Regions from separate parts of the Mus musculus genome. Here all the other regions are reported to be linked to region 5. Evidence: microRNA targets listed by miRTarBase, many of them from high-throughput screens and not tested one by one. Region 5 holds a microRNA gene; each other region holds the end of a gene's coding sequence.

Region 1 (4,069 bases), not on the chromosome of region 5:
CTCCCAGCTACAATCAGAGATGCTGGGCATGGCTGTGTTCACTTGAGAACTTCACAAAGGGCCAGTTGGTGACCAAACTGCACAGAAGACAAGAGGATGCCCTATGTATAAATTCCCATGAGAATATTTACCATTTCATTACTCTGTAGACTGTCCTTGCCTAATTATTCCATAAACACGTGGAGAAGCTCTCACATTTAAGTTCCCAGTTCCCAGACATAGCTTTATTTAAATATGAATTCCTCTACATGCTAGATTATTATTGCCAGTTCCATTTACTGCCATAGTTCACTGAATGTTGGAATCTAAGAGGATTTATGCCCTCAGGTGTGTGGCATGGAGCTTTGTGAGATGGATACAAGCCTGTAGAACAGTAGTTCTTAACCTGTGGGTCACAACCCCCACAGGGGTCACATATCAGATACCCTGCATATCAGATGGTACCAGATATTTACATTGTGATTCATAACAGTAGCCAAGTTACAGTTATGAAGTAGCAATAAAATAGTTGTATGGCTGGGGGTCAGCACAGCGGGAGGAACTATATTAAAGGGTCGCAGCGTTAGGAAGGCTGAGAACTCTGCTCTAGAGTGATTTTAAAGGATATCCTTTGGTTCATCTTTTTTAATTCTTTCTCTCTCTCCTACCTAGTTCGAAAGAAGAGAGTTGAAGGAGACAGGAGGTAAAGCCCCACTCAAAGGGGTGAAGTCTCACCGTGCGGCCATCCAAAAAAACATACCCAAAATCCTCTTCTCCACCGGACCATTTGATCCAAGGCTGTTCATTTCCGTTAACCATATCCATCATAACTTTAACTGTTACTCCTTTTTAGCGCTAATTATTTGTCTGAAATATGTGTAGCAGTTTGCCTCGCTCCTGGACACACCTGGTGGCTTGCACAAGTAGGGTGATACAGATCTTAGACAGTGACAACGCTGGAGATGATCTTAACCACTTTCATATTGTAGTTTGTCTTGCTTTCTTTCGTGAACCGTTTTTAGTCATGGAAGGGACTTAGCATGTAGCATGTGTTTGTAGCTGATGACAAAGTGGAGGCCTATCTCTGTTTACATGCATTGCTTTGAGCTAGGCCAGGAACATGGGGAGTGTGTGCTACTGACCACATGAGAAGTTAGTATTGCCAAGCTTTCACAAATTCTCCGTTAATTTCAGAAAAAAAAAAAAATAGTGTCTCTACATGCACATGCCCAACTGATAGATAGATGGTCAGTGGGATCTTCCTTAGAAAGCACTTTAACGTAGCACTGGCAAAGGGACTGTTTAGTGCCCCGTGAGTATATTAACAAGTCACACACTTACCTTTACTTACTGTTAAACATGAATGAAACATATTTGTTAAGGTATGTGGTCCTGGGAATTGTATCCAGAACCCTGTGTGCTAGGCAAGCACTCTACTCCTGAGCTACATCTCCAACCCAAATTATATTTAAAATGATTCTCTAATAGGTAATTATTTACAAAGCCGTTGAAAGACTTTCCAGGTATGATGGGAAATTTTTTAAAGTTTAACCAAAAGAAAATTTCAAAATAGTACATTCCCACATAAAATAACAATAACAGCGTCTTGGGAGCTGGAGAGCTGGCTCAGCAGTTAAGAGTGCTTGCTGCTTTCCCAGAAGACCAGAGTTCAGCTTCAGCACCTGTGTCAAGCAGCTAACTTGTATAGCTCCATCCTCGGGGGACTCTGATGCCTCCAGCCTCTGAGGGCATCCACACATAGGTATACATACCCCCTATATACATACACATGATTAAAAATAGATTTAAAAGTTATGGTACCTTAATCAAAGTTTCTGATACATAATGAATTTGACAAATTTTAAAAGCAATTGTTGATTCATCTTTAGCATAACCAGATCACCAGCTAAATTGTGGGCATTGTGGTTAATTATATAGGTTTTTTGGGGGTTTTTTGGTTTTTTTGTTTTTTGTTTTTTGTTTTGTTTTTTTGTCACATGCAATTGCTTCTTTGCCTTTTGGCTTAAAATCAAGCATTGATTTTTGTCATATATCACAGTAAATCCAGCTATTTGCAAACATTAGGTTAAAAGGAATTGTCAGTTGCTAAGATGTTTGTCACCTCGAAGACAGAGCCTGTGAAGACATGACTGAAGTGACCATGAAGTGACTGATTTCCTAGTACAACAACTGGACAGCATAATGCAAATTTAAGGTACCAAGTGATGGAATGTTTTGGCCCAAAATAATCACTTTTCTCTCCTGTCATAGACATCAGCCACTGTCAGGTACCTGTGTTAGCTGCCCTTCTCACTGCTGTGACTAAATACCTGACAAAAGGAATATAAGGAAAAGGGGGATTCATCTTGGCTCACAGTTTTAGGTTGCCACCAACTGTGGCAGAGAAGGATAGCAGCAGGAGGATGAGACAGTTGTCACATCACTGTCACAGACAGGAAGCAAAGAGAGATGAATGCTGGGGCTCCGCCCACTTTCCTTTCCCCCCTTTTTATTTAGTCTGGAGTTCCAGCCTATGGGATGGTGCTCCCCACATTCAGGGTGAGTTCTCTCTTCTTGGTTAAACTTCTCTGGTAACACCGTAGGTGATTCCAAATCCCATCAAGTTGACAATGAAGATCCTGTCTAGCATCTCTTGTCCTTCCTTTTCCTCTCCTTTCATGACAAAGCATCCTTCTTGTTTCCCTTCTCTCTATGTCGCTAAGTCAGTGGTTCTCAACCTGTGGGTCACAATCCCTTTGGAGGTTGAATAACTCTTTCATGGAGGTCACTTAAGATTATTGGAAAACACAGATATTTACATTACAACTCAAAACAGTAGTAAAATTACAGTCATGAAGTAGCAATGAGATAAATGTATGGTTGGGGGTCACCACAACATGAGGAACTGTATTAAAAGCAGTAAGAAGGTTGAGAACCACTGCTCTAAGTCCTATAAAGGTGATGGGAAACTATCAGACAAGAAAGAACTTGGAGTCAGGAACCTTGGGAAAAAAAACTGGACACTTAGAGGGAGAAACTGAACACTTACTGTGCTATAAATAACCACAGCTAAAGCAAAAATTCTCAGACACACCTCATTTTCTTGGCTCATTTTTATACTCTTCAGGACATAATAAATAGGGTATTCTGACATTTTTTGAGTCACCCCCAAGTGCTTTAACTTAATACTTTATCTCCCTGTCAATCTAAAAATGTATTTGTTTTGTTTTATCCCTTAATCTGATCTTTCCTTCCTTCTCACCCACTTGGGTGTGGTATTGAAGCCAGTTTGTATAGGTTTGCTGGTTTGTTCAGTTTTCAAGAATTCTTTAAATTCTTGCTCAAAATTGCCCTGCTAAAAATTAAGGTGTGGTAGCATGCCCTAGTGATCCTAGCACTTGGAGTGGACGCAAGATCAGTGTTGGCTACACAGAAAGTCTGAAGCCAGCCTGCTACCTGAGACCCCTCCCTCAACTTGAACATGAAGTGGCTTGTACTTACAGTGAAATCGATGATAGTAAAGGCAAAACTATGCTCTTGAGATTCTTTACGTCTGTTGTGCCTGTATGGCATACAGACCGCTGTGCTATAGCACAGGTCGCCCCTGCTCTGCCAGCATTAACTTCTTGGCCATGGTGAGAAGAGTCCTTGGGAATTATCAATGTGTAAGAAAATGGCTCCATTCTTTCCTCTAGATTGTTGGCTGATAAGCAGTCATCCATTCTACCTGGGTGAAATGTATAGGGTGTATTTTAATCAGAATTTTTGGTTACTCTGTTGCCAAAGGAAGGATGCTAAGTGTCTTTCCTCTCTCTCAGCCACAGACTTCTTTAAGAGCAGAGTCCCTAACAAGCTTCCTTTTCCTGTTTTCATTCACTCTCTTGCCTCCATTCCTAAGAAGCCCTGGCCCTGCAAATTATTGTCTGCAGCCCCATATTGTAGAGAGTGGGTTACAATTGTTGACACACCCTGGCAAAAAGCAAGAAAAAAAGTCATATTTAGATCATAGATATTCCTTTTTATAAGGAGTTATTAATACTAATAAGATTGTAGAACATTATTTTTAAATTCATACTGGTTTTATCTTATA
Region 2 (4,069 bases), not on the chromosome of region 5:
CTAATAGTGGCCAAAATATATTTCCATCTATTGACACTCCTTAAGTATGATGGCTCTTCATTTGAGAAGGTTGCTGTAATAATATAATATTTTCACTTGTTTTAAATAGTTAAACGTAAGATTTTCTTTTCTTTGTTGTTGTTATTAAAGAATATGGGGCGGCAACAGCTATATATTTATAAGCTATAATATGCTGTAAAATGTAGGAAAGGTTAATCATCTCTGAGAGAGCCTCACTTTTTACATTTTCTTTTGCTCATGCCTATTTTTTCATTCTTTAGGAGGAATTACCCATGACACTTTCCAAAAGGAGCTCATGTGCTTCGACCCTGATACTGACAAATGGACCCAGAAGGCACCGATGACCACTGTCCGAGGCCTACACTGCATGTGTACGGTGGGAGATAGGCTCTACGTCATTGGTGGCAACCATTTCCGAGGAACCAGTGATTATGATGATGTCCTGAGCTGTGAATACTACTCACCTATCCTTGACCAGTGGACCCCAATTGCTTCCATGTTAAGAGGGCAGAGTGATGTTGGGGTCGCTGTCTTTGAGAATAAAATCTATGTGGTTGGTGGCTATTCATGGAATAATCGCTGTATGGTAGAGATAGTGCAGAAGTATGATCCAGAGAAAAATGAATGGCATAAGGTTTTCGATCTGCCAGAGTCTCTTGGTGGTATTCGAGCTTGTACACTTACAGTTTATCCACCTGAAGAAGCCACACCATCACCTTCTAGAGAGTCCCCTCTTTCTGGACCCTAAGATCATCCTTACAATTAAGATGCTATATTCCTATCTTTGCAATGTGTCATGATTATCTTCTTTTCCCCCCTTAAGTAGCATATATGTTAGAGTTAGCCTTCAGTAATTGATACAGAAAAAAAATTGACATTGATGTTACTTGTGATGTTTGTATGGCCTAGAATGTTTATAAAGTGGTAACAAACCATCCTTGAAATATATCCCATAGAAGCTGATGTTTAACATGAAAACAAAAAAAGTATTGTCTACAAAGTGTTTCTTCAGTACTTTCTAAATGCTGTGTACTGAGTGTAAGGGATTCCTCATCTTACATTATAAGCCAAGTTGAAGGTGGATTATAGTAAATGTACAACTGTGCTCACTAGGTTTCAAAGTGAAGAAGTTTTCCTTTCATCTTTAACTGTAAGATGTCAAAGGGAGGCAGCCTGCTCCAATAGGAAACAGTACACAAAAGGTTGCCAACTCGCATGAGCTACCTCCCTCTTTTCATAAAGTATTTTTGACACATCTGTCAACCCACCTGACTGTGTGGGTGCATTGAGAACACACCAAGTTTCTAAGACACACAGGAGAAATAACTGAAATTCACCAACACTAGTTTGTGGGGGAAAGCATGACCCCTCTGCTTATAAGAATTGGTTTGGGGTTTTTTTTAAGTGTGTATAGATGAACACACACATACTTATATCAAATACAAATTTTTAAAAATTGACTGTCAGGTCAAATAAATGTGAAATTAAACAAAATTCTTCTAAAAAGCAGCTTCCATGAAAAATGGGGATTCAGTATGCACACATTAAATGCATATATTTCAAACCATACTGAATTTAGGTGGATAAGGGCTAGAAATTTTGAGCAACTAAATTTATCACTTGACCAAATTTTACCATAAAGAATTATATTCTCTTTTTCTCCTTTGCTGTTGAAGTAACTTACCTGTTGTGTGGATTCTGTATTCTGTACACTCTTGGTTCATGAGGTTATTTAGCACAAAGTGTAACAGCTTCACCTGGGAAGCTGCTTTTGCTCTATGATGTCCATGGTTTCCCTTCTTTTCTTCAATAAAAACATTTAATGTCATTCTGCTCTGTGCCATGCCGTTACTCCTCAGTTTGATTTCCATTTATTCTGTATCTTTCAAGGGGTGAGATTGAGGAGGTCGAACATGGTGTATGTGTATGTGACTTTTATTCAAAGGACAAAGACTTGGGCCAGCCCTCACCTCACTGTGTAGATACTGCTTTTTGCCTTTGAGGAAATGGTTTGTGAAAGATGCTAATTGGATCTTAAGCAGCAGCAGTGCAAAGCCTGGGTAAACTAAAAGCAGTTACATGTCCTCCCTCCCTTTCTTTGCTCTTCTCTTCCCTTCCTACTGTGACCTGCAAAGCTTGGTCCAGAAACCCTATCTAAGGGTGATGAGGGTAATATATAAATGTCAGATATGTACACAAAAGCTGGGGCCAGGTGAGGTGCTGCCACTCTTATGGGGTGGCATTTCCACCTGCTGCAACCCAAGCATGTTGGGAGGAGCGTGGGAAAGGGGGGGCTAGTCTGGGTAGGAGGTATATACAGCCCAGCAGTCTCAGGCTACAAACATTTAAGAGGAGGGAGTTGCATTTGCTAGGTTTTTGCGCAAACAGGCCAGTTGTTCGTAAATACTTGTACTTGGGCCAGTGGAAGATTTTGCCAATTTCAAGCTTGGGCCCTATGAGGAAAGACTTTGCCAATTTCCCATGGTTCTGAGGCCTTAATCCTTGCTGTGGCTATGTCCATGACAACACTCCACATTCACTCAGGATTTCATTCAACTCAGGGTTCCTTTGCTCCTTATACCTTTATTCTCCCGTCCCCTTCCTGTTTCCTTGAGAAGCTCTTTGTTACTCTACTCCCCAGGTTGACCTTAATTTTCTGGGTTCAAACCATCTTACTGCCTCAGCAGCTAGACACACAAACTCATGCTACCTTGCTGAGTTATACTGCATTATATATCTGTGGATAGTTTCTCTGCCACTCAAGATCCATCTTGTGCACTCCAGTGGAACCACATAAAATGACTTCTTAGATTTTATTGCTTCATTTTGTCCAGACAAGATTTCTCTATCCAACTTTAGCTGTCCTGGAACTTGGGTAAGCTAGTTGGCCTCTAAATTCACACAGATACACCTGCCCCTACCTCCCGGGTACTGGGATTAAAGGGTGTGCCACCATCAACCTGCCTAAGATTTATTCTTAACATAGGACCCTAAAGAAAAAGAATTGCCATCTCTTTCATTTCATCTCTAAGTGTATAATGTACATCACTGGGAAGAGAGGCCCCTAGGTATTGCAAACTTTATATGCCCCAGTACAGGGGAATGTCAGGGCCAAGAAGCAGAAGTGGGTGTGTAGGGGAGCAGGGCTGGGGGAGGGTATAGGGAATTTTCAGGATAGCATTTGAAATGTATATATAAAGAAAATATCTAATAAAAATCAAAAGAAAAAGAAAAAAATAATGGGACTTAAAACACTGTTTAATTAAAATCTCTGGGAAGTTTGTGTTTAAAAAAAAAAAAAAAGGCAAACTGAAACCAGAACATGAGGCTATTCCAAAACACTACAGTATCATCAAGGTTCCTCCACTTAGGTAAGAATGTTTCTAACTGAGCAAAACTTCTCTGTGGATTTTACTTTTATATACATGAGAATATTCAGTAACATTTGTTTTAGCTAACACCTGCCTGAAAATGGAAGTGTATACAAGACAACTAATGATACTGTAAGAATCCCAGGTCAGCATTCCTGATCAAGCAACCAAAGGCCAAGAACTCCTCCCTTCGGTTGGTAGGAGGAAAATGAAGCATTAAGAGGTGTGAGTGTCAGAGTGCTCAACCTGGAGAGAGGCATTCATTGTAACTAGCTACATACTACTTGCCAGAATACTTTAGCTTCATCCACAAAGGGGATGAGAAAGGAAGAAGAGAAAGTCAGGTTGGTGATCTTCTAGCAGCCTGTCACAAGAATAATGCAAAACATATGCAGTTCTCTTCTCTGCATCTGTGCCTTGTGTTATTTAGAAGCAACGAATTTCACACTTTACTGTAATGGTTATTATTAGATAGTTCAAACAGCTGGGAAAGTATTATGTATTTCTTTCTCAGCATTTGTGTGTGTGTGTGTGTGTGTGTGTGTGTGTATGCGTGTGTGTGTGTGTGTGTGTGTGTGTGTGTGTGTGTGTGTGAAAAGGAACCTTTGGTTGACTATACAGGTGTTTCTTGCATTTTCCTGTTATCCTAGTTAGGGTTGCTATTGCTGTGACAAAAC
Region 3 (4,059 bases), not on the chromosome of region 5:
CAGTTCCGGGATAGCTTTGGAATAGTTTGGTCTTCTGTTCGCTCTGTTTCCCCAGTGATGGAGAGTTCACTCGGTACACTTGTACTCCATGATGTCACATCCTTCCCCCCTGGAATTTGAGTCTCCCTGCAATTCAGATGGGCTATGTCTCTTGCCTTGCATACGCGCCTTCTCCAGATTACGAGAGAGTTGCTAAGAACTCTGCTTCTGTTGTTGCAGGTGTTTGCAAATGATTACCGCGAGGCTGAAGACCACCCTCAAATGGTTATCTTACAACTGTTACGCTTTATCTTCCGTCTGGTATGGAGAAGGCATTGACAGGATCTACATGCAGCCAGGATACGTGGCGGACATGGCTCTTGTTCAGACTGGGAGAACCCCCACGCGTCATGTCCCTCTCTTGGTGCTGCGACAGTGTGTCCAGTGGTTCTATCCCAGAGAGATGTGCTGAGCATGGACAGCGCTCTGCACTGTGTCGATGTGAACGGAACCTCTGTTCATCACCACATGGCCGAGTTTTCAGTAAATATTTGTTGTGAATGTAAACAAGGGAGGGCTTTTCTCTTTTTAATGTACAGATCCTAGGAACAGAGAAATATGCAAGAGAGGTGTTTACATGTGGCGTGTTAATTTTTTTAAACCCACTTTCTTTGATAACTGTTTTTGGGGTTTTTTTTTTTTGTCTCATTTTCTTTCAGAAAGTAAAGCTTTTTAGCCAATTTATGGATGATTTTTATACTCAAATTCTTAACCCACTACCTACTCAGAGGATTCCATAACCCTGCAGTGGGAACTGAGCCAGCTGATTTATAAGGCTGCCTTAGTTTATTTTTAGAAATTACTGTACAGAATTTTTTAAACAGGAAGAGTATGGTGTTGCCCTCTCTCCTCTGCCATGGCCTCTTTGAGTTTCCTTTTGAGTTATTACTACCAAAACAGTTCTTAGGAAATGGAATGAGTTCGAGCGGCAGAGGTTCTGTTCTGGTACGCCACTTCCACTTTGTAAATATTTACCTCCTTAGCTCAGTTGCTCCTGTAGCAGAAATTCACACTTTTCCTGCTTCCCTCAACTCCTCAGACCCCTCGGTCTGTCTCCACACGGATGCGCAGCTTCAGCCCAGGGTATCTTCAAGTGTATTGTGTCAGCAAGGGCTAGGGGCTGCCCGGATTGTGCCCAGCTCCATCAATCAAGCTGACTCACGGGAAGGGCTCTCGTGCGCTTCACTGCACTGCGGTGGCTGTGTTTGCCTCTTTTATCCTGAGAGGACGTGGGCTCACACACCGCTTGCTGAAGCCGCTAGCTCCACTGGTTGCTGGCTTTGCTGCCGCCACAGGCTCTGCTTTGCTGTGTGTATCAGGTGAGCTGGAGCCCACGCTTTCTCGGGGACTGGCCAGGTCATTTCAGGAGCAAGGAGCTCAGGTGATCCTTTTCCATGCTTCTTGGGATGTAGCCCTGCTCACCCCACCTGGCCTGTGATTCCTGAATTTCATCTCTATTCCCTTGAGTTAGGGGCTGGCTCTACTTCCATCAGTTCCCAGACATAGGAAGCTTCCATTATGCCGAGTAAAGCACTTGTCTTCCACAAGATGTCTGCCTGCTTTGCTCTCTCCATTTTCTTAATACTTGGATCTTGTTGGGCTTACTTGTGTCTGGGGTGGGGGTGAGGTGCTCTTTCTTGGTCCCTGCCCCTTAGGACCACAGCCCAGACATTTGGTCAGTTATTTCAAGACCAGGCAGGACTGGAAGTGCACAGCCTGGTGGAGGAGCACTTTCTAACCTGTGGAGAGCTGTGGCCCAGCTCCAGCTCCTCCCAAAACAAACGGCACACGTGTAGGCAGACAGCCAGGGGAGATACAAAAAAGGACCAAGAGGAAAGAGCATGGGAGGAGTGGGGATGGCAAGCCCTCTCACTTCTGAGAACTTCAGACGTCAGGCAGCTTGCTCAGGAAGCTTTATGAGTTTCCTCGCAAGTCAGCAGTGCCAACGACTGTTTGCTTTTGGCCTGTAGAAAGCCAGTGGTTTTTCTTATGTTATGAAGTAGAGAAATCCGTTTGTTCATACTTTCCTCTGTGTGTGTGTGCATGTGTGTGTGTGTGTGCATATGCGTGGTTGTGTGTGTTTATATGTATATGTATATTACCTATAAGCTTCCTTCTAGATTGAGATCATCTGATTCCAAATATCCTTATACATTTCCCAGCTTCGTTAGATTTGGTGTGGTTTGAAAGCTGTTTTGGCATTCTCCTCCTTTCCTGATGTATTGAGCCTGCTCATGGTTCCCATGAGGCCCTGTGGTTATTATAAGTTGGTGTTAAAACTGCAACCATGGCTCTCACACACACACACACACACACACACACACACCAAAGACATACTTGGTCCTGGGCCATGCCCCCCTCCTAGGACCTCCATTCTCATGTGCCAGTCTCCCCGACTGGAGCACTTTACTGTCTCAGCCCCATGGCTCTGTGGCAGTGCCTGAGCAGGTGCAGAAGCTCCAGAGCCAGGTCCCAGTGACATGTGTGGCCCCCAACGCATGCTTACCTCCAGCCTGGGGCTGGCCGCTGAAGCAGCTCATAGGGAAATAAGAGATTCTATGAATTGTAGAAGTATTCAAGAACAGGATGCGGCACCCAGAACGTAAACATGACTGGATGTCCCTGTACTGTATCTGTTTGTTAGAGTGCAAACGTCGCCTGCAGACAGACAGTGCCCCTGCTTACTGTGGGTAGGCCTTTGTACTTAAATATATTCTCTCTCGTTTTTGGTAGGACAGAAACTAGATCTCCCTCCCCCTCGTGTGTGTGTGTGTGTGTGTGTGTGTGTGTGTGTGTGTGTGTGTGTGTGTAAACATAATGCGGGTTTTGTGCCTTGACAACCTCCCCATGTGAGGTTTGTAAATAGTGTCCTGTGACTTCACCTCAAGTTGTAATAAACATACAAAATGGTGTCCTGAGTGATTCTTCAAATTTCTTTTCCAGAAAAGAATTGATGAATTGGGGGAAGGGGCAGGGGTCTGAAAAATCAGTTTAAAGTCTCTCTATTAAAGTATGTAATGGGTAATGTCTGCTTCTCCTATTTCCTTCCAGTGTTGTATATATTTTGACTATTTATTAGATTAGAAAGTCATGTTTCACTCGTCAACTGAGCCAAATGTCTCTGTGCAATTGTGTTCCCTTTACCTTTCTTTGTAAAATATTGTACAGCATAAATGAGTAAAAAAAAAAAAATCACTGTTTTTCCAAACTTCTCATAATTAAGGATTTGTAAATACCATAGGTTCTTCTTCTGTGTAATGTGCCCTACTGTTTCATAATGCTGTAACTTGTAGAGATGTTGTATATTTATTTTCCGCTTATTTAAATGTCTTAAGTTCTTGAAAGTGTTGACATCCCTATCCCTGACAGCCCTGCCATGCCATGAATTGCTTCAGCTCCTGATAAAGGAGGGGTAGTGGCTGGTTCTCTTCCCACAAGGCGGCTTCTGCTTTGGCTTCTGGCATTCAGTGCTTGGGTTCTGCCGCCTTTCTGATGAAATGAGTGTTTTGCTGCCGGTGAGATACCCTAAGATGCTAGCCTGGAAGATTGGACTCTAAGAAAATACCCATCAAACCCATTTTTGAAGCAGCTGGCTTCTGAGAAAAATCAGACTCACCAGTAAGTTGGCCACATCTTTAGAGAAGTATTAGCAGCAGATGGGGAAGAATTTTTTTTTCCTTAAATTGAAAGAGTATCTTTGACAACTCAGTGTTGAGAGAAATATTATCCTGCTGCCTCTTGAGGTACTGCTGAATGGCTGTCCTGGGTAAGAGAAGGGCTGGTGGGACCTGTTTCTAGAGCATTTGCCAAGGCCACTTGTGTCACCAGGACACTCGCTGGCTACCGTCCCCACCTGCTGTGTGCTTCCTAGTTTGAGGTCTGTGGACTGAACTTACCTATACCATTCGGCTCCCTTCCCGTTCACTGCTTTAGGCCAGCCCACTCCTGCTTCCCTCTACAGAGGTTCTGGCACCCACGTCAAGATGGCTCACTGAAGCTCTAGAGCCATGTGACTTCATG
Region 4 (4,069 bases), not on the chromosome of region 5:
GGTGCCAAAATTCATGCTGGTGTTTTCATTTGTTGCATCTAGCCTTTCTTTTCATTAGGTTATCAGAATGAGTGCATGTGACAAGATTGGAACAGCTCTCATGTATAGTAGAGCTCCATCGGAAACTGCATAGTTTTTTATCTGACTGCTGACAGTTAAATTTAGTTTCTTTCTTTATCTTTCCACCAGGACTTGGAAGAACAGAGTCGGTTGATAGCTGCCTCCAGTAGACCAAACCAGGCTGGTAGTGAGGGCCAGCTTGTTCTTAGCAGTAGCCAATCAGAGGAGAGTGATTTGGGAGAAGAAGGGAAAAAAAGAGAGTCGGAAGCATAAACTTGTTGCTGCTTTTTGAGTTCTCATTTCCCTGGGATGTGGCACAGCGTATCCATGCTGAAGATCATGGAAGAGATAAGCTTTACAGTAGTGTGCTTCAGCTTCATTTAAAAAGACTGAACTTGATAACCGGTTATAGCGAACATTTCCCCGTAAAAATAAAATACTATGCATTGTCATCCAACTCTGCTTTCCTAAACAAGACCTGCTTACTTTTCTGTAGTAGATTGCTGAGGAATTACAGGTCTTCAAGATATTTTTCCTTTAAATTGTGAACATTTTATCTTGCACTGTAATTGGCTGTCTCCATAAGGAATGATTTATTCTTGGATTCTGACATTCCTGTGTATACTCTCCCTTTCATTAGGAATGTTTTATTGGTAGTGAGGGAGGGCTCAATTGAGTGAGCTTAACATCCTTTATGTGGAGAATTCTATAAGTGTGCAAGTGTTGTAACAATATTGAGTGTGCAATAGAATTTGCACAAAATCACAAGGACGGGGCAGGTGGTGCTGTTGACTTCAGGATGTTTTGTGGCTTGCTCCATTTCTCTGATGTACTAGATCATGGCAGTGGGAGACCTCAAGTGTCTGTTGGTGTTTGTGTGGCACTTGGTATTTTGTTACCATCTTCTCAGTTCTCAGGTTGGGACTTTACTTATTGCTGCAGAACAGGAAAGGTTAGAGAGTAAGACTTCAGAATTTATTGAGATTGTTGTTGTTCAAACATTTTATATTAGAATTGACATGTAAAGGGAGTGTTGTAGACTGATACATTGTATTTTCTGTATTGTGAAATAATTTTTAAATGACAATGAGTGACATTTCAAAAGATGTTCTATAACAATTATGTTTATTGCTTAAATAAAAATGTGCAGTTTAGTTTAGAAAACAATCTTTTGAATTTCAGACTGATAACCCCAGTATTTTCATAATCCCACATTTTGATAATGTATTGAATTGCCACTTTTTATCCATAAAGGCAAATAACTAATTTGAGTGTAGAATAATTTGCACTAATAATTGTAAATACTTTTACTTTTCAAATGAGTAAAAGGTCTAATTCCATGAAAGACTGAAAAGGAACTGAACACCTCATATAGTGCAGGACAGAGTTAGCGTGTACTGAGGGTGATTCTGTCAAAACTTTCTTTACTAGGACTTTAAACTGTGTTTACAGATTTTATTTTCATTCATTCTACATGAAAAGGTGTGTGTGTGTGTGTGTGTATATATACACACACATATGTATACAGGTTAAATATATTGATTAGTATTTTACATAGTCATACATTTAGAGATTTTCAAAAGGTTAACCACTAATTTCACAAGTAGTTTCTCTTTGTTCTGAATTAGAAGTTTTAGTTTTCAGCTTATAGCTCCGTTTCACACTCTGTAAGTACACTGTTTTCTGTAGGAACAAGATAACGATATATATAGGATCATATTCTTTTTCTCCATTTGCCAAATGAGACTAATGGTTATTTACTACTCTTCAAAGTCTTCTGTTACCCAAACATACAGTTAATAATTATCAATTTATGGAGTGCATTTGGCTAAAAGTCTGTTTTGGGCTTACTAAAGGGAATGCCTTCATAGTAAGTAGTGTTTCCTCTGTTAAAACTGTGAACTGCTGTGGTTAGACCGTGATTAGTGGTGACAAGTCTTGCTTTTAAAACTTTTTTTGATATTGGTAAGGCTTCTTGTTTTGTTGTTGTTGTTGCTATTGATTTTATTTTGTTTTTGTTTGTTGATTTTCGCAGTGATCAGTTACTAAACTACCACAGAGCCACACCCCCACCCCAGGTTTTCAGTTTCATGAATCTTTTCTTGATGGAAGACGTCATGCTTGCTTCAGATGAACTGTGTTTTATAGTAAGAGTAGTCATCAGGAGGCACTTTTATTTGGTTGGTGCTTTGCATGGTAACAAAATAGTGATATTTGGATAAAAATTTAGGCCAGAGGTAAGAATTTTCTAATTCTTTTTAAGTCATGTTTCATAGGAACTCCCCCAGTTGTGTTCATGTCCATGGGTCAGACCAAAATGTGTTCCAGTGCCTAGGACGCATTCTGAGTGGATCAGTCCGTTTCAGTGATTTAACTTGTATCACTATTAAACTGTATGCAATTCTGCACATCAGCTGTAGTCAGCTCTCTGCTTGAAGAAGGCTCCTGTCAGCTTCTTCCTAAATGTTAGTACAGATGTCATTCTGTTATACTATCCGCCAAGATCTCCCACAACTTTTTTATTTTGGGGGAGGCACAGAATTGATTTTCTTGTTCTGAGTTTGGGTTCATTCCTGTCACGGTCACTGAGCCAAGGCAAGTAGACCTTGCCTCTTCAGTCTTAGTCCTGCGGGCGTCTGCTCAGATTCTCTTCCATATTCAAAATGCCCTGGAAAAGCTTCACTGTTTTAATACGTCCTAGATGTTCAACTGAAGCAGAGCGAAGAAATGGCCCTCCCAGCCCCATCCACCTAAAACAAAACCAGCAGCTGCTGCTACAGCCATTATGAAAAAATAACACAAACTCTTCTTAAAAAATAGATCACACAGAAAGAACTGAGGGCAGATGCACCTGGGGGGAGGGGGGGGAGGGCTGCCCCAGCCACGGGGAGAGGCCTGGGTGCTGAGATGACCCTGCAGGGCTGGGGTGCTAGTAGGTGGCTGCCTCCTTCCTTCTGCCTAGCCTCTGTAGTGTGGGCTGGATCCCAGGCATCTTCTGCCCTCTCCCCTGAGGGATCCTGGCCCCTGCTGAGGACTGGTACCTATTTCTCATTAAAGTGGCTTTGATCAGGAAATGAGATGGACACCAAGCATGAGTGAGGGCCACTGCCTGGCTACATGTCTCCCAGCTTTTTAGAAATTAACAAAGTTGCTTTTTAAAAAATGAAATTTAGCCTACCTAATTATACTCTGCATTCTGTTACCTATAGCTAATCTTGTTTTTTTCCATTACTTAATGATTGATTGGTGTTCAATTTCAAAAGTGTTCCAAGCTCCACAGTGTTGGGATGAGGATGTTGCCGTTATTTTTGAGAAAAGGATCGTAAGATGTGCATAACATTGTAGGTAGCATGGTTTTGTGCAGTGAACACACAAGTAACTACAGGAGCTGCACTCTTCACAGTTTGAACTGACAGTGCTGGCAGACCCTTAAAGCAGAGTCTTCTGACACACGAATGAAAGGAAATATTTGCTTCTAATAACAGTCTGAGCATTTAGATCATACTTTTAAGTATTTAAACACACCATTGTATATGGCAAGCAAACTTTTAATTTTATTTTTAGCAAGTTTATTTCTCTTTGAAATTGTCATTCTACATTAATAACATAAAGATTTTAAACTAGAACCATACTGAACTTTTTTAATGATAAGATGAAATGGACTTTAAAGGAAAAATTATTTAAAACTTTGTTAATAAGCCTCAATAGCATAAAATACTAATGTTAATCAAAATACTTCTAAGTATTTTTAAAGTACTTTAAAAATCTCCATCGGGCTAATTCCTATGTATTTCTTTTCCAGGAATATTATTCTTAATAGCATAAGCTTATTAAGACTAAATGGAAGTTGAAGGATTAGGCACACCTAGAGCAGTGGCTTCACCGTTTGATTCTCATTTCTCTGTGGTTTCCACCTCTTATCAGGAGCTGCCCTGGAAAGGATCCGGTCATGCTGCCTGCCTCTTTTCATCTGTCATGATGGATTTCATCCCTTTCACGGGCCTCTCCA
Region 5 (4,069 bases):
CCTGTCTGGGCCTCTCTAGAGCTGGGATTACAAGTGGCCACGATGCCTACCAAGCTGTTGTGTAGATTTGAAGGTCTGCACACCGATCCTTATGCATAAATGCTTTATCTACTGAGCTATCTTATCAGGCTGACAGTGAAATTATTAAAACCATATGTTACATAGAGTCCAGTCATTTCCATTTTTATGAATTATCCATGTTATATATTAATAATTTTGGAACAAGTAGGACAATTACAAAAAGATCTTGTAGTTGGAAATTATACTGCCCAGAGTTAATTTTTTGAGGCTCATCATTTTGATGCATCACCTTCTAGACTTTTCAAAAATTCCAGTTTGGTCATAACAGATATACAATGATATGCCTACCATTATTTGACCTGGAGTTATGTTTAGGCATAGAAATGCATGTCGGTGTCGCAGACCCTGCCCTTCCTCAACAGCCCAGAGTGCAGAAGTTTGACTTGGACCCATGAATGTCCCATGGATATATATATATATATATATATATATATATATATATATATATATAAGCATTTCAAAAAAATTACCCTCTTTTTGAGATTATAATATAATTACATCATTATCCCCTTCCTCCCTCCAAACCCTCCCACAATGCCTTGTGCTCTTTCAAACTCATCGCCTCTTTTATCATTATTTATTGTTACACACATACACACATATTAGGAATGTATGTATGTATGTAGGTAGGTAGGTATATCTCTAAAAACATAAATACAACCTATTCAGTTAGAAACTATATCCATAACATCTAAACATGAGCTGAACAAGGGCAACACTAGACATGCTGAAGTAGGCAGTGGAAAGCCCTCCATCCTACACAAAGACCTACAAAATGCGGAGAACAGGAGAAATTGCTTATCCAATACCAAATGGACAGCCCTGGAAATATACATACAAGGGACATTATACACAGCTTGGCTTTTGCATATCAGAATGGTGTACAGGGGAGCTGGTCTCGAGACAAAGCAATGTTAACTGTAGATTCTGCTCTCTAATTTCTTTTAAGAGTGTATCATTTGTCACAGTGCTCTGCCAACTGCTAACTGCAGTATCGTTTGTTCTGTTGGTCCACTAAGAATGCCTGTTGAAAACACACAAGTGCTGCAAAACAGCGCCAGAAGAAGCCTTCACAACTCTGATTTCTGGGTCAACTGGTATTGGAACATGCTTCCTCGGGTGAGGGTTCTTAAGAAAAAAGATTGCTGGAAAGCGGGCACCAGAGTAGACAGAGACAGGCATGGGATGGGCTCCAGCTTCAGTTTTCTCTTTCAGTCTTGAACAAAGTACCGACCTCTTCTGAGCATCAGTATCTTCATCGAGAAGCCATGGGCAGCATGCATGCTTCTCATCTGATTAGAGAGTTGAGATGGAGATACATAGGGTGCTCCTGTGTGCAGCAGGACTCACTCATGACCTCGTTTCCTCTTCCCTTGTTTTTTACGAAGTCTGCAGAGAAGTGCCAGTGCCCAGATTAGTCAGTGAACGATGATAATGGCATGCTAATATTTATCCAGTGAAGCACTTTGCACAGAACTATTTGTATCATGTTTGTATAATTAGAGGAAACGCTTCTCATCATACATTATGATGTGAACTTTCCTTCCTAGGCTCCCGGTAATTAGATTTGGGTGAGGAAAAATTCCCCGAGTTGTAAAAATATACAAAAACTTTTCTCGAGTTTGCTTTGTGTTTTATATTTGTGACTAGAGTTTGCCATTTCTCTTTTTATTAGGTGCTCACCACAAGTATGTTAATGAGTGGAAGTAGTGGGTGAAAACTGGCGTTTGAGAGCCATGTTAGGTTTAAGCTGACATGAAATTCATATTTGGAGAAACAGAGTAGGATCCGAAGTGACTAGGTAGTATAAATGCTTCAGAAAGCCTCGGTATATTCCTTGAAGAAAATAGACAATTGGATACTTTTTGCTCTGGGCTGTGAAAACCCTTCTGAAGAATGTGGCATCTGGATTCTACTCAGCTGAGTCCACATGGGTATACTACTAGTAGACTTTACTACTATCTGGGGGGTAAGGTGGGGTTTGCAATAGGTGCAAATAAAACTTTATTGAAGTATTAAATGTATATATCACAAGAGAGTGCTTAACAGTGGGGTGGAGCAAAAAAAAAAGAGCTGAGAAATTTTCATGCAGAAAACTGAAGGAATTTAGTGAAATTCTTTATTTTTAACTCCTTCCCATGCTTGAAACAGGGGTCTCTAGTCTAGCCTGGTCTTGAACTCAGTCCTCCTGTCTTAACATCCTGGGTGTTGAGATTACAGGCAGTCACTACCATATTTATCTAAAGTCTACCTTAGGAAGACCCCTCTACTCCTGAAACAGTTTTAAAAATCTCCTTTATATTCTTATTACCTTCTCTTTAGTGTGTGTGTGTGTGTGTGTGTGTGTGTGTGTATGTGTGTGTAGTATATGTGCACACACACACATACGTACCCATGCATGCCATATCTCATCTCTGGAGATAATAGGACAACTCGTAGGAGTCAATTTTCTCCTTTACCCAGTAGTGCCCAGAGACTGATCTCAGGTTGTCAGGCTTGGCAGCAAGCACCCTTACCCTCTGAGCTGCCTTATAGGTGTGCTTTATATTCTTAATACTACTGAAGAGTGCAAGAACCGTATGTTTGGATGGATTGTCTACCAGCATTTATTATAGTGCCAATAAATGTGATTTCATTAAATACAATAAGGACTTTTTAAAGCACAATATTACTAATGCATAACACAATGTCCATTAGCCGCAGTGATGACATCATCTTGTGGCATGCAGCCTCTGGGAAACTCCACTGTACAACTGTGGGGCAAGAGCGAAAATAGCATTTGATGTCATTGTATTAATATATAAAAAGGGCTCCAGAGACTCAGAGGACCTCGGGCATCTCTGAGGACAATTGTAGTGGCTTGTAGTCACTAGAGAGGTCACGCTGATCTGTCCTTCCGTAACCCATCACTCCATTCCAGGATGAATGACATTATTCACAGGGTTAGAAATGAAGAAGGCAGAATTTCACAAGTGGCTCGTGGCCGAGATTTGGTACTGCAGGAGCACAAGAAGAACTACAACAACAGAAGCATTTCATTTGCCATCACTGTGTATCTTTGCATAAGTATTTTTTGCACAAGTTAGGTTAGATCTACATCAAATGAAAAGAGTGGATGTATTTTAGTCAAACTGTGTTAGGAACTTCTGGCCTATAATAGCAGCCAAACATGGGATGTGTGTGCAACCTCCAAACTGGGAAACACTTAAGAGGTGTTTCCTTGAGCTCCTGGCTTGCTTGGCTAGGGCAAATATGACGAGGAGCCTACCAGGTGCTCTGCTCAGAGCTGCAATGGGGAAAACCCCATCCAAACGACAGCAGAGCACACTCAGCTAGTAACAGCTAGCTCTCATTAGCCCCTCACCCGATACAATTAACAGAAAAGAATGAAAGACAGAATAAGCTTAGGAAACAGGTAAAGGGTGGTTTAAGTATGGTCTTAATTCTTTTGAGACAACCATCCCTCCTCTCTCTCTCTCTCTCTCCTCTCCCTTTTTTCCCTTTAATGTGATGTATTTATTTTTATTTCATGTGTATGGCTGTTTTACCTGCATACATGTCTGTGCATCATTTGTGTGCTAGGTGACTGTGGGTGGGAGTCAGTCTCAGTCTATCTAGATTTACAGATGGGCTGAGCTATCATACTGGTGCTAGGAACCAGATTAGTGTCTTCTGTAGGAACAGTGTGTGCTTTTAATTCTGAGCCATCCTGCTAGCCCCACAAGTGCCCCCTTTAAAGCAAACATCTGAGAGTGGCCACAGATCCTTTGAATATTTTCCCTAAATTCACACTGGAGGAGCCACCTTAAAACACAAAGTCTCCTGCCAAGTCTCTCCTCTGGATTGGCCCTGCTGGATTGGTCTAGTCAGTTCCCATCACCATTGGCTAAGACATCTGGCCACTAGGACGCAGAGCACACAAACATTGTCTTTGCAAAAGCTCAGTCAGCGTTGCTGGGACGCACCTTCACCCTGACCACCAGGAGCT
Region 6 (4,069 bases), not on the chromosome of region 5:
GTGCTGAAAACCATTCAAAACCCCAAGCCAAATGAGCAACCAAGCAACTAACCTCAAACAACAACAAAACAAATAAAACAAACAAACAAAAAACCAAACCAAATAAACGAGTTTACCCAAATGTGTTGAATCTATAACACAATCACAGTTTCCTTTTGAAACTCAAAAGGTGAGCACACAGAGGGTTGAAATAACAGTTCAAGGGACATTCAATCCCTTCATCTTCACCTCCTACTTGACACTCGGAACATCTGTCTTGTCTAATTCTCAGTAAGCACAGGGCTTTCTCTCAACCGCTTGTAACTATGTTGGATACATTTTGACACATCCCAAACACTTTGGCCTCTGCCTCCTCAGAGTTGGGACCTATGGCATTCATACCTAAGACAATTAAGATCCAATTACATGTCCTTAATTGTTCCACAAATTCCTGTCTGGGTTTCTTTCAGTGAGCATGTAGTGAAGGGCCATGAATGTCAACTAGCTGCTGTCCTTAGTGAAGTATATGCTTTGAATTCTATTCCCTGTTGTCTGGGAAATTCTTCTATCAACTTCATCATTTGATTGTTACAGCCTTATTACACTGGCCAACTTGCCTCCAGGAGGGTTGGCAAATGCAGGAGCAGTCAGGATTCGCTCTGAGGAAAATATCTACACCATCGAGGAGAACGTATATGAAGTGGAGAATTCAAATGAGTACTACTGCTACGTCAACAGCCAGCAGCCATCCTGACCGCCTCTGGACTGCCACTTTTAAAGGCTCGCCTTCATTTCTGACTTTGGTATTTCCCTTTTTGAAAACTATGTGATATGTCACTTGGCAACCTCATTGGAGGTTCTGACCACAGCCACTGAGAAAAGAGTTCCAGTTTTCTGGGGATAATTAACTCACAAGGGGATTCGACTGTAACTCATGCTACATTGAAATGCTCCATTTTATCCCTGAGTTTCAGGGATCGGATCTCCCACTCCAGAGACTTCAATCATGCGTGTTGAAGCTCACTCGTGCTTTCATACATTAGGAATGGTTAGTGTGATGTCTTTGAGACATAGAGGTTTGTGGTATATCTGCAAAGCTCCTGAACAGGTAGGGGGAATAAAGGGCTAAGATAGGAAGGTGAGGTTCTTTGTTGATGTTGAAAATCTAAAGAAGTTGGTAGCTTTTCTAGAGATTTCTGACCTTGAAAGATTAAGAAAAAGCCAGGTGGCATATGCTTAACACTATATAACTTGGGAACCTTAGGCAGGAGGGTGATAAGTTCAAGGTCAGCCAGGGCTATGCTGGTAAGACTGTCTCAAAATCCAAAGACGAAAATAAACATAGAGACAGCAGGAGGCTGGAGATGAGGCTCGGACAGTGAGGTGCATTTTGTACAAGCACGAGGAATCTATATTTGATCGTAGACCCCACATGAAAAAGCTAGGCCTGGTAGAGCATGCTTGTAGACTCAAGAGATGGAGAGGTAAAGGCACAACAGATCCCCGGGGCTTGCGTGCAGTCAGCTTAGCCTAGGTGCTGAGTTCCAAGTCCACAAGAGTCCCTGTCTCAAAGTAAGATGGACTGAGTATCTGGCGAATGTCCATGGGGGTTGTCCTCTGCTCTCAGAAGAGACATGCACATGAACCTGCACACACACACACACACACACACACACACACACACACACACACACACACACACACATGAAATGAAGGTTCTCTCTGTGCCTGCTACCTCTCTATAACATGTATCTCTACAGGACTCTCCTCTGCCTCTGTTAAGACATGAGTGGGAGCATGGCAGAGCAGTCCAGTAATTAATTCCAGCACTCAGAAGGCTGGAGCAGAAGCGTGGAGAGTTCAGGAGCACTGTGCCCAACACTGCCAGACTCTTCTTACAGAAGAAAAAGGTTACCCGCAAGCAGCCTGCTGTCTGTAAAAGGAAACCCTGCGAAAGGCAAACTTTGACTGTTGTGTGCTCAAGGGGAACTGACTCAGACAACTTCTCCATTCCTGGAGGAAACTGGAGCTGTTTCTGACAGAAGAACAACCGGTGACTGGGACATACGAAGGCAGAGCTCTTGCAGCAATCTATATAGTCAGCAAAATATTCTTTGGGAGGACAGTCGTCACCAAATTGATTTCCAAGCCGGTGGACCTCAGTTTCATCTGGCTTACAGCTGCCTGCCCAGTGCCCTTGATCTGTGCTGGCTCCCATCTATAACAGAATCAAATTAAATAGACCCCGAGTGAAAATATTAAGTGAGCAGAAAGGTAGCTTTGTTCAAAGATTTTTTTGCATTGGGGAGCAACTGTGTACATCAGAGGACATCTGTTAGTGAGGACACCAAAACCTGTGGTACCGTTTTTTCATGTATGAATTTTGTTGTTTAGGTTGCTTCTAGCTAGCTGTGGAGGTCCTGGCTTTCTTAGGTGGGTATGGAAGGGAGACCATCTAACAAAATCCATTAGAGATAACAGCTCTCATGCAGAAGGGAAAACTAATCTCAAATGTTTTAAAGTAATAAAACTGTACTGGCAAAGTACTTTGAGCATATTTAAACCAGATCAATGGTTTTATTCAAGGATGTCCTTATCTGACAGTCTTTAAGCAAGGGCATGTATATAAAGATGGTCACTGCTGTGGTGTTTACATCAGTAGGGGGATGGTTGGTTACACGGTGTTACAGTTTATATAAGATTTATAACTTGGCAGATATAAAATCAACTTGGAGGTCGATCTCTGCCTGGGTCTGTGAGGCATTTTCTAGATTAGGTTAAGTGAAGTGGGAAGATCCACTAAACATTTTCTTGTGTCCTGTCCCCATCAAAGAAAGTGGGTCAGGTCAAGGACACCAGAAGGAGGCAGTAACCTGGAACTAGAACCCTTGTTTTAGACTTGGGGTCACTTAAAATCAAGTATTTGGGATGGAGTTGGTGGGTGGCACAGGAAAAATGAGGTAGTATAAGGGACCAGGAAATGGTAAAGAGGTAGCTTAAAGGCTTCAAAATGAGAGGGTGGAGAGATGGCTCAGCTGTTCAGAGGGAGTGTTGTGCCATTTCGAGGACTGTAGTTTGGAACTCAGCGCCTATGTAACAAGGCTGGAATCTATTGCAGGCCTGTCACTTTGGCGGAGAGGGTCAGAGAGCAGGATGACTGGGGATGACTGGGCTTCCTGGCTTCCAGCCTAGCAGAGAAACAAGAGAATGGTTGATTATATGGTGTGATAATTTATATTGATTGCTAACTTGACAGGGTCAAGATGAATCCTTAGAGATGAATCTCTGGCTGTGCCTGTGAGGTACTTTCTAAATTGGGTTAATTGAGGCGGGAAGACCTATCCTAAGTATGTTAATTGAAGAGGGAAGACCTGAAGAGGAAAGCGTGGATGGGGACTTTTCATGTGCTGGTGTTCAGGGAGAGACCCTGCCTTATAGAGATAGAGAGAAACAGAGGACGACACATGATTCCCTCTTCTAGTCTTTGTGTAAGTGCTTAGGCACATATACTACACACAGATGTGCAGCAACTTAGTTTGATCCCTGGACCCTATGGTGAAAGACCTGACTCCTGAAAGTTGACCTCTGACCTCTACATTCACACTGCCTGAGCCTGTGCTCACACACTTATCACGTATAGACACAATAACAATACACGGAGTTAAAAATTTAAAAAAGCAGCCAGGCATGGTGGTGCACGCCTTTAATCCCAGCACTTGAGAGGCAGAGGCAGGCATATCTCTGAATTCGAGGCCAGCCTGGTCTACAGAGTGAGTTCCAGGACAGCCAGGGCAATATAGAGAAACCCTGTCTCGAAAAACCAAAAAAAAAAAAAAGCTAAAGAATTCAAAGCTTATAGAAAGGTTAGAGCTTTCTGAGATGCATGAGACCCAATTTCAAAACAAAACAGAACAAAACAAAACAAAAAAAAGAATGAAACCCTCAAAAAGCAAGAAATCAAAGGCTGGCAAGGTGGCTCAGCAATGTTTTACAGTTATGAAGACGGGAGTTTAGAGCCCAGCATCGGTGTAACAAGCTGGGTGTCTTTCACATGGCTACAAACCCATCTCTGAAGTGTGTGTGTTCATAT
Region 7 (4,069 bases), not on the chromosome of region 5:
GTCAACCAGTCACAGTTGCCAGTGGGAGCTCTGTGACCCTGCCATCACAGGACAGTGACCATCATCTCTGTCACACAGCCATCTTAGCCTCATACCCCACTATTGTTTAGTTTTGACCCGTTCTAACGCTGGGATGAAATGTAGAAAGAGAAAGGCACGGACTGACTTCCACCTTGCATTTGCTTTTCCCTTCTCCCATCCCTCCCCGTCTCCCATACCACCCTATGCAGGATGAATCTCTTCAGCGCCTGCAGAAGGAGTCCGATGTCTTGCAGAGAACATATGCACACTACTTCGATCTCACAATTATCAACAACGAAATTGATGAGACAATCAGACATCTGGAAGAAGCTGTCGAGCTTGTGTGCACAGCCCCACAGTGGGTCCCAGTCTCCTGGGTCTATTAGGCTTCTCCTTGGCTATCTGAGTATAAAACTGGGAGCCACCTCCTACGTGGAAAAAGCCTCTTTGTTATCGGCCTTGTGTCAGCAGGTCGTGGTCCCTAGAGACTACCTAGTTGTAGTGTGACCTACATTTATAATTATTGTCATGTCCGAATAGATAGGAGGAGAAAATCAATTACACACTAATTTAAAGAGACAGTATCTTTTTTAATCAGTTCTCCTAAACTTTAATAAAATGTATCTTTAAATGTATGTATTATTCAATCCTTTGGAATGTTATATTTTTGGAAATCATAGCTTTTTATTTCCAAGGCCCCTAAAAACTGCACAAAATAGATGCTGCTTTCTATAATCTATTTTAATAATAATAAACAATGATTCTGTTACCTTGACTGGGGGTGGAACACTACATTCTTTTTAGAGTCTGATTTTATGGATTGGAATACCTTTCTTTCCTTTATTTATTTGAAATGATTAGTCTAGTGATTACAAAACAGTCATAAATTTTTAAAGGCCTGTTTTCTCTCTTTTTTTAAGTCCTTTATGTAACATGCGGATACTGTGATACTGTCTCTTTGAAGCACCCTGTAAACCTTTTAGAGATTTGAAGTTGGGTCTTGACTCTTAATGCATGTGGACAGTCGCGAGCGTTTATGCTGTCGGTGTGTCTGTGTTGGACAAAACAATCTGTAATTACAGCCAAGTACATTCCGTTCACGGGGCACACCCAGGGGAGTAAGAATAAATTGCTATTATGACTAAGTTGTAAACCTATGCACATCCCTTGCATTTCGGGCAACTTTATAAAACAGAAAAAAAAAACCTGATTTTTATTAATAATAATCATGTAGTGAAATGTGTTTGTAATTTTGTCTCAATTTAATTTGTTGTAAGGTGGGAGGGGGTATTGCTGGTTTCGCCATTTCAGATCTGTGTTGTCTAAGAGTATTAACGTTTTAATTAAGCAAAGAAATGCGGATTTTTAATCTGTATGTAATTGTTTTAAGCACCCATTTAAAGAGAATATACTGTGCAATGAAGAAACCAGTTTAGGCATTTGCTACAAACTGAATTATTCCAAAAGAATAATCTATAACAGCCCTGTAAATTCCTTTAAAATGATAACTAACAGGACAGTCTGACCATTTTTTTTAAATATACTTCATTGTATGTGTTCAATAATTAAATGCCTTTGGGTCCTTCATTTCATTATAGATTTGTTCAGGTCCAAGCTGGTAATCTTTTAAGTTCTAAAATTTGTTAGATGCTCACTGACCCATCGAAGGCCCAGGAATAAGTATCGGTTGGTAGGGCAACAAAGCAGCCTGCCAGGGCACAGCTTGGACCACATGTGACTCACAAGGCCACCTGTGGTCTCTCCTTCCTCTTGCTCTATCCCTTGGCACAGGGGAGTCACCTGTCCTTGTTGCTTTAAAAGCATTCACCATGTCATCCCCCGCCATGCTGTCAGAATCACTAGAGGAGGCCCAGGCTGGGGTTCTCAGACTGCCAGAGGTCACTAGAGTGTTGCCCCTTCATGGATGAGAGAACAGGGCACTGACATGACTCTGGTCCTTGGAAACACACCATCGTTTTCATTTCTTCAGGGTTAGCTGGCCTCCATCACTTTGTGCCTTGGCAGAATGAGTTCTGGCCTGAACAGCTCCTCTTAGGCACTGAACAGAGAAGGCATTTTTGTGTTCATACTCCTCTCCTGTTTTCAGCATCTCACCCTTCCCAACTATTATTACATGATACCATTTGGTTTCTGTTTGTAGACCATTCTTTGTCAGTGCCCAGATGGTCACAACTTACCAACAAGATACTGTGAGAATAACTTGTGTTCGGTCCCACAAGTAAGGGTGGCCTAACAGCACACCAGAGACAGACTCAACAGTGAGCTCTTGCTAGGTGGAGGGAGAAAACTTCAGGAGTTGCTTAGGGCTGTGTAGTGCTGACCTCGATCCTAATCAGTGCCCAGGCCAGACATCATTACTGCAGTAGTACTGAGCATAAGGCACCCTTTTCAGTGGCTCAGTACCTGCTCTACCTCTTCCAGTAAAGCACAACTAAGGTGTGGGAAAAAAAAGAACCATTCCTCCCTCTGGTAGAATCCCTTATGCTCCACTTGCTCTTGAGAGCACATCTCCAGAAATGCTGGCAAGGCCTGTGTGTGACCATCTACCACGTCCCCCCAGACAGAATGAGCATAGGAAAGTGAAGCCAGCTGAAGTTCAGGTGAGCACAGACTGAAAAAGGTACTCCAGGACTCGGGGACATGGGGAACTTCTGTCCTCACTGGCCTTCTGGAGTCTGAGAGAAGAGCACTGGTGGCATCCTTCCTGCCCTTATACAGGTGGCGAAAGCCTGCACCTAGAACCCAGCGGCTGCCCCAGCAGCTCACCTGCTCTTCTCCACTAATACACAGCTCTAAAGCAGTGTGCTTATGACCTACAGGAAAACAATCTCTGAAGTCAGAGTACTATCAGTACAGCCGTACCCCGAGCAATCAGAGGAAATTGCTCAAAGCTTCTTGACTGCTTCCATTTCATCGGCCAGAACACACACACACACACACACACACACACACACACACACACTAGAGCAAATTACCAGAGATTGCTAAATCAGTAGTCAGCTGAAATGTTGGAAAGCCAGAGTGCAGGTCCTTTCTGCCGCCCCAGCCCTACTCCCCACAACAGGAGAAGGAGTGTTTGGATCTCCTAAGTTCGTTGCTTAAAAGATGAAGTGAGCTGATTTTCTAATCATAAAGCAGTAATTACTTCTCACATGCATCGTATTCCTATCTGAACACTGAAAAGGAATGTGTCCCTCAGCTTAATTCATCTGGAAGTTTCCCAATGTCGAGATAACATTGGAACTGCTTTAGCAGCACCCCATCAGAGGAGATGGCTTAAAATATCAGCTCAGAAAGGCAAAAGAAAGAGTTGACCTACTTCTTGCTATTTGCATTCAGAAGGCAGAGTCTCAGGCTATTGGTGGCAGAATAGATAAAGCTGCAGAGTTCCCCAGCAAAGGAAGAGTGGCAGGAAGCGGTCCCTTCCCTATATCTAAGGCCTGGGGCAGGCAGGCCAAGCATTCCTTTGAAGCTACTGTTATCTTTTTAAGCTTTTTATCTGTGAGTTCTGTTTTCCAATCAGGGGTCTCTTCATTAAGGTTACCAGGGTTTTGGTTTGTTTTTTTTTTTTTTTTTTTTTTTTTTTTTTTTTTTTTTTGCAAAAAGTTAAATCAACTGAACCACCCTCCAGGAAATGGGGAGCTACTCAGAATGGAAACTGCTCCTTAAGGGTGAGGCAGCCCAAAGCATTCTCTTGTCTCCCACTGATGGGATGTTCCTTTAGCATCTCAGGTCAGTTTCTTACACGGGGGAAAAATAAGCTTAGCTTGTCACAAACGCTATGGAGAAAATGGCTTGATTAGTGAATTCTTAATACAAATGTCTCCTTGGAAAGAATAGAGGGCACACTGCTAAGCATTCCAAAAATCAAGCCCCTGGCATGCCTCATCACTTCTTGTTTCAGGTCAGCATTCTGGTGGGTAGATAGTGGTGGCTGTTTGTCAGAACTGAACACAGCCTGCTCCATCTGTTCTCTTCGCAAGGATGCTGATGCTGAGGCACACTGAAGCCCCTGAACACATCTTTC

What was found. The annotated mature microRNA mmu-miR-466i-5p reads UGUGUGUGUGUGUGUGUGUG and lies in region 5 at 2,408-2,427, shown strand. An mRNA with a match to its seed (bases 2 to 7 or 8) in the 3' UTR can be bound and repressed. Matches are read on the target gene's strand: a 7mer-m8 pairs with bases 2 to 8, a 7mer-A1 pairs with bases 2 to 7 and ends in A, and an 8mer does both.
Region 1: the mRNA of Tmod2 is a reported target of mmu-miR-466i-5p. Seed matches in the 3' UTR shown: 7mer-m8 at 1,310-1,316.
Region 2: miRTarBase lists Klhl13 as a target of mmu-miR-466i-5p. Seed matches in the 3' UTR shown: 7mer-A1 at 1,331-1,337, 7mer-A1 at 1,440-1,446 and 8mer at 1,441-1,448.
Region 3: the mRNA of Bcl2l11 is a reported target of mmu-miR-466i-5p. Seed matches in the 3' UTR shown: 7mer-m8 at 1,276-1,282, 8mer at 2,335-2,342, 8mer at 2,337-2,344, 8mer at 2,339-2,346, 8mer at 2,341-2,348, 8mer at 2,343-2,350 and 8 more.
Region 4: the mRNA of Appl1 is a reported target of mmu-miR-466i-5p. Seed matches in the 3' UTR shown: 7mer-A1 at 1,569-1,575, 8mer at 1,570-1,577 and 7mer-A1 at 3,428-3,434.
Region 6: miRTarBase lists Havcr2 as a target of mmu-miR-466i-5p. Seed matches in the 3' UTR shown: 8mer at 1,629-1,636, 8mer at 1,631-1,638, 8mer at 1,633-1,640, 8mer at 1,635-1,642, 8mer at 1,637-1,644, 8mer at 1,639-1,646 and 19 more.
Region 7: the mRNA of Cask is a reported target of mmu-miR-466i-5p. Seed matches in the 3' UTR shown: 7mer-A1 at 2,965-2,971, 8mer at 2,966-2,973, 8mer at 2,968-2,975, 8mer at 2,970-2,977, 8mer at 2,972-2,979, 8mer at 2,974-2,981 and 12 more.

What each region holds. Positions count from the first base shown.
Region 1 is chr9:75,570,706-75,574,774 of GRCm38, reverse strand. Tmod2 (tropomodulin 2) reads left to right here. Exons shown (of 10, transcript NM_016711.3): 10 at 652-4,069. The coding sequence ends at 686. Among named protein-coding and RNA genes, the nearest start is that of Tmod3, 13 kb to the right of the region's middle.
Region 2 is chrX:23,217,065-23,221,133 of GRCm38, reverse strand. Klhl13 (kelch-like 13) reads left to right here. Exons shown (of 10, transcript NM_001381892.1): 10 at 282-1,849. The coding sequence ends at 769. Among named protein-coding and RNA genes, the nearest start is that of Klhl13, 150 kb to the left of the region's middle.
Region 3 is chr2:128,158,012-128,162,070 of GRCm38, forward strand. It overlaps Bcl2l11 (BCL2-like 11 (apoptosis facilitator)), which reads left to right. Exons shown (of 4, transcript NM_207680.2): 4 at 220-4,059. The coding sequence ends at 318. Among named protein-coding and RNA genes, the nearest start is that of Gm14009, 9.7 kb to the right of the region's middle.
Region 4 is chr14:26,919,992-26,924,060 of GRCm38, reverse strand. Appl1 (adaptor protein, phosphotyrosine interaction, PH domain and leucine zipper containing 1) reads left to right here. Exons shown (of 22, transcript NM_145221.2): 22 at 190-4,069. The coding sequence ends at 333. Among named protein-coding and RNA genes, the nearest start is that of Asb14, 27 kb to the right of the region's middle.
Region 5 is chr3:28,417,537-28,421,605 of GRCm38, forward strand. Mir466q (microRNA 466q) reads left to right here and starts at 2,407; the gene lies at 2,407-2,482. The region is part of intron 2 of Tnik (TRAF2 and NCK interacting kinase); the gene reads left to right.
Region 6 is chr11:46,478,714-46,482,782 of GRCm38, forward strand. It overlaps Havcr2 (hepatitis A virus cellular receptor 2), which reads left to right. Exons shown (of 7, transcript NM_134250.2): 7 at 574-2,542. The coding sequence ends at 733. Among named protein-coding and RNA genes, the nearest start is that of Havcr2, 26 kb to the left of the region's middle.
Region 7 is chrX:13,518,509-13,522,577 of GRCm38, reverse strand. It overlaps Cask (calcium/calmodulin-dependent serine protein kinase (MAGUK family)), which reads left to right. Exons shown (of 27, transcript NM_001284503.1): 27 at 231-4,069. The coding sequence ends at 407. Among named protein-coding and RNA genes, the nearest start is that of Gm34836, 49 kb to the left of the region's middle.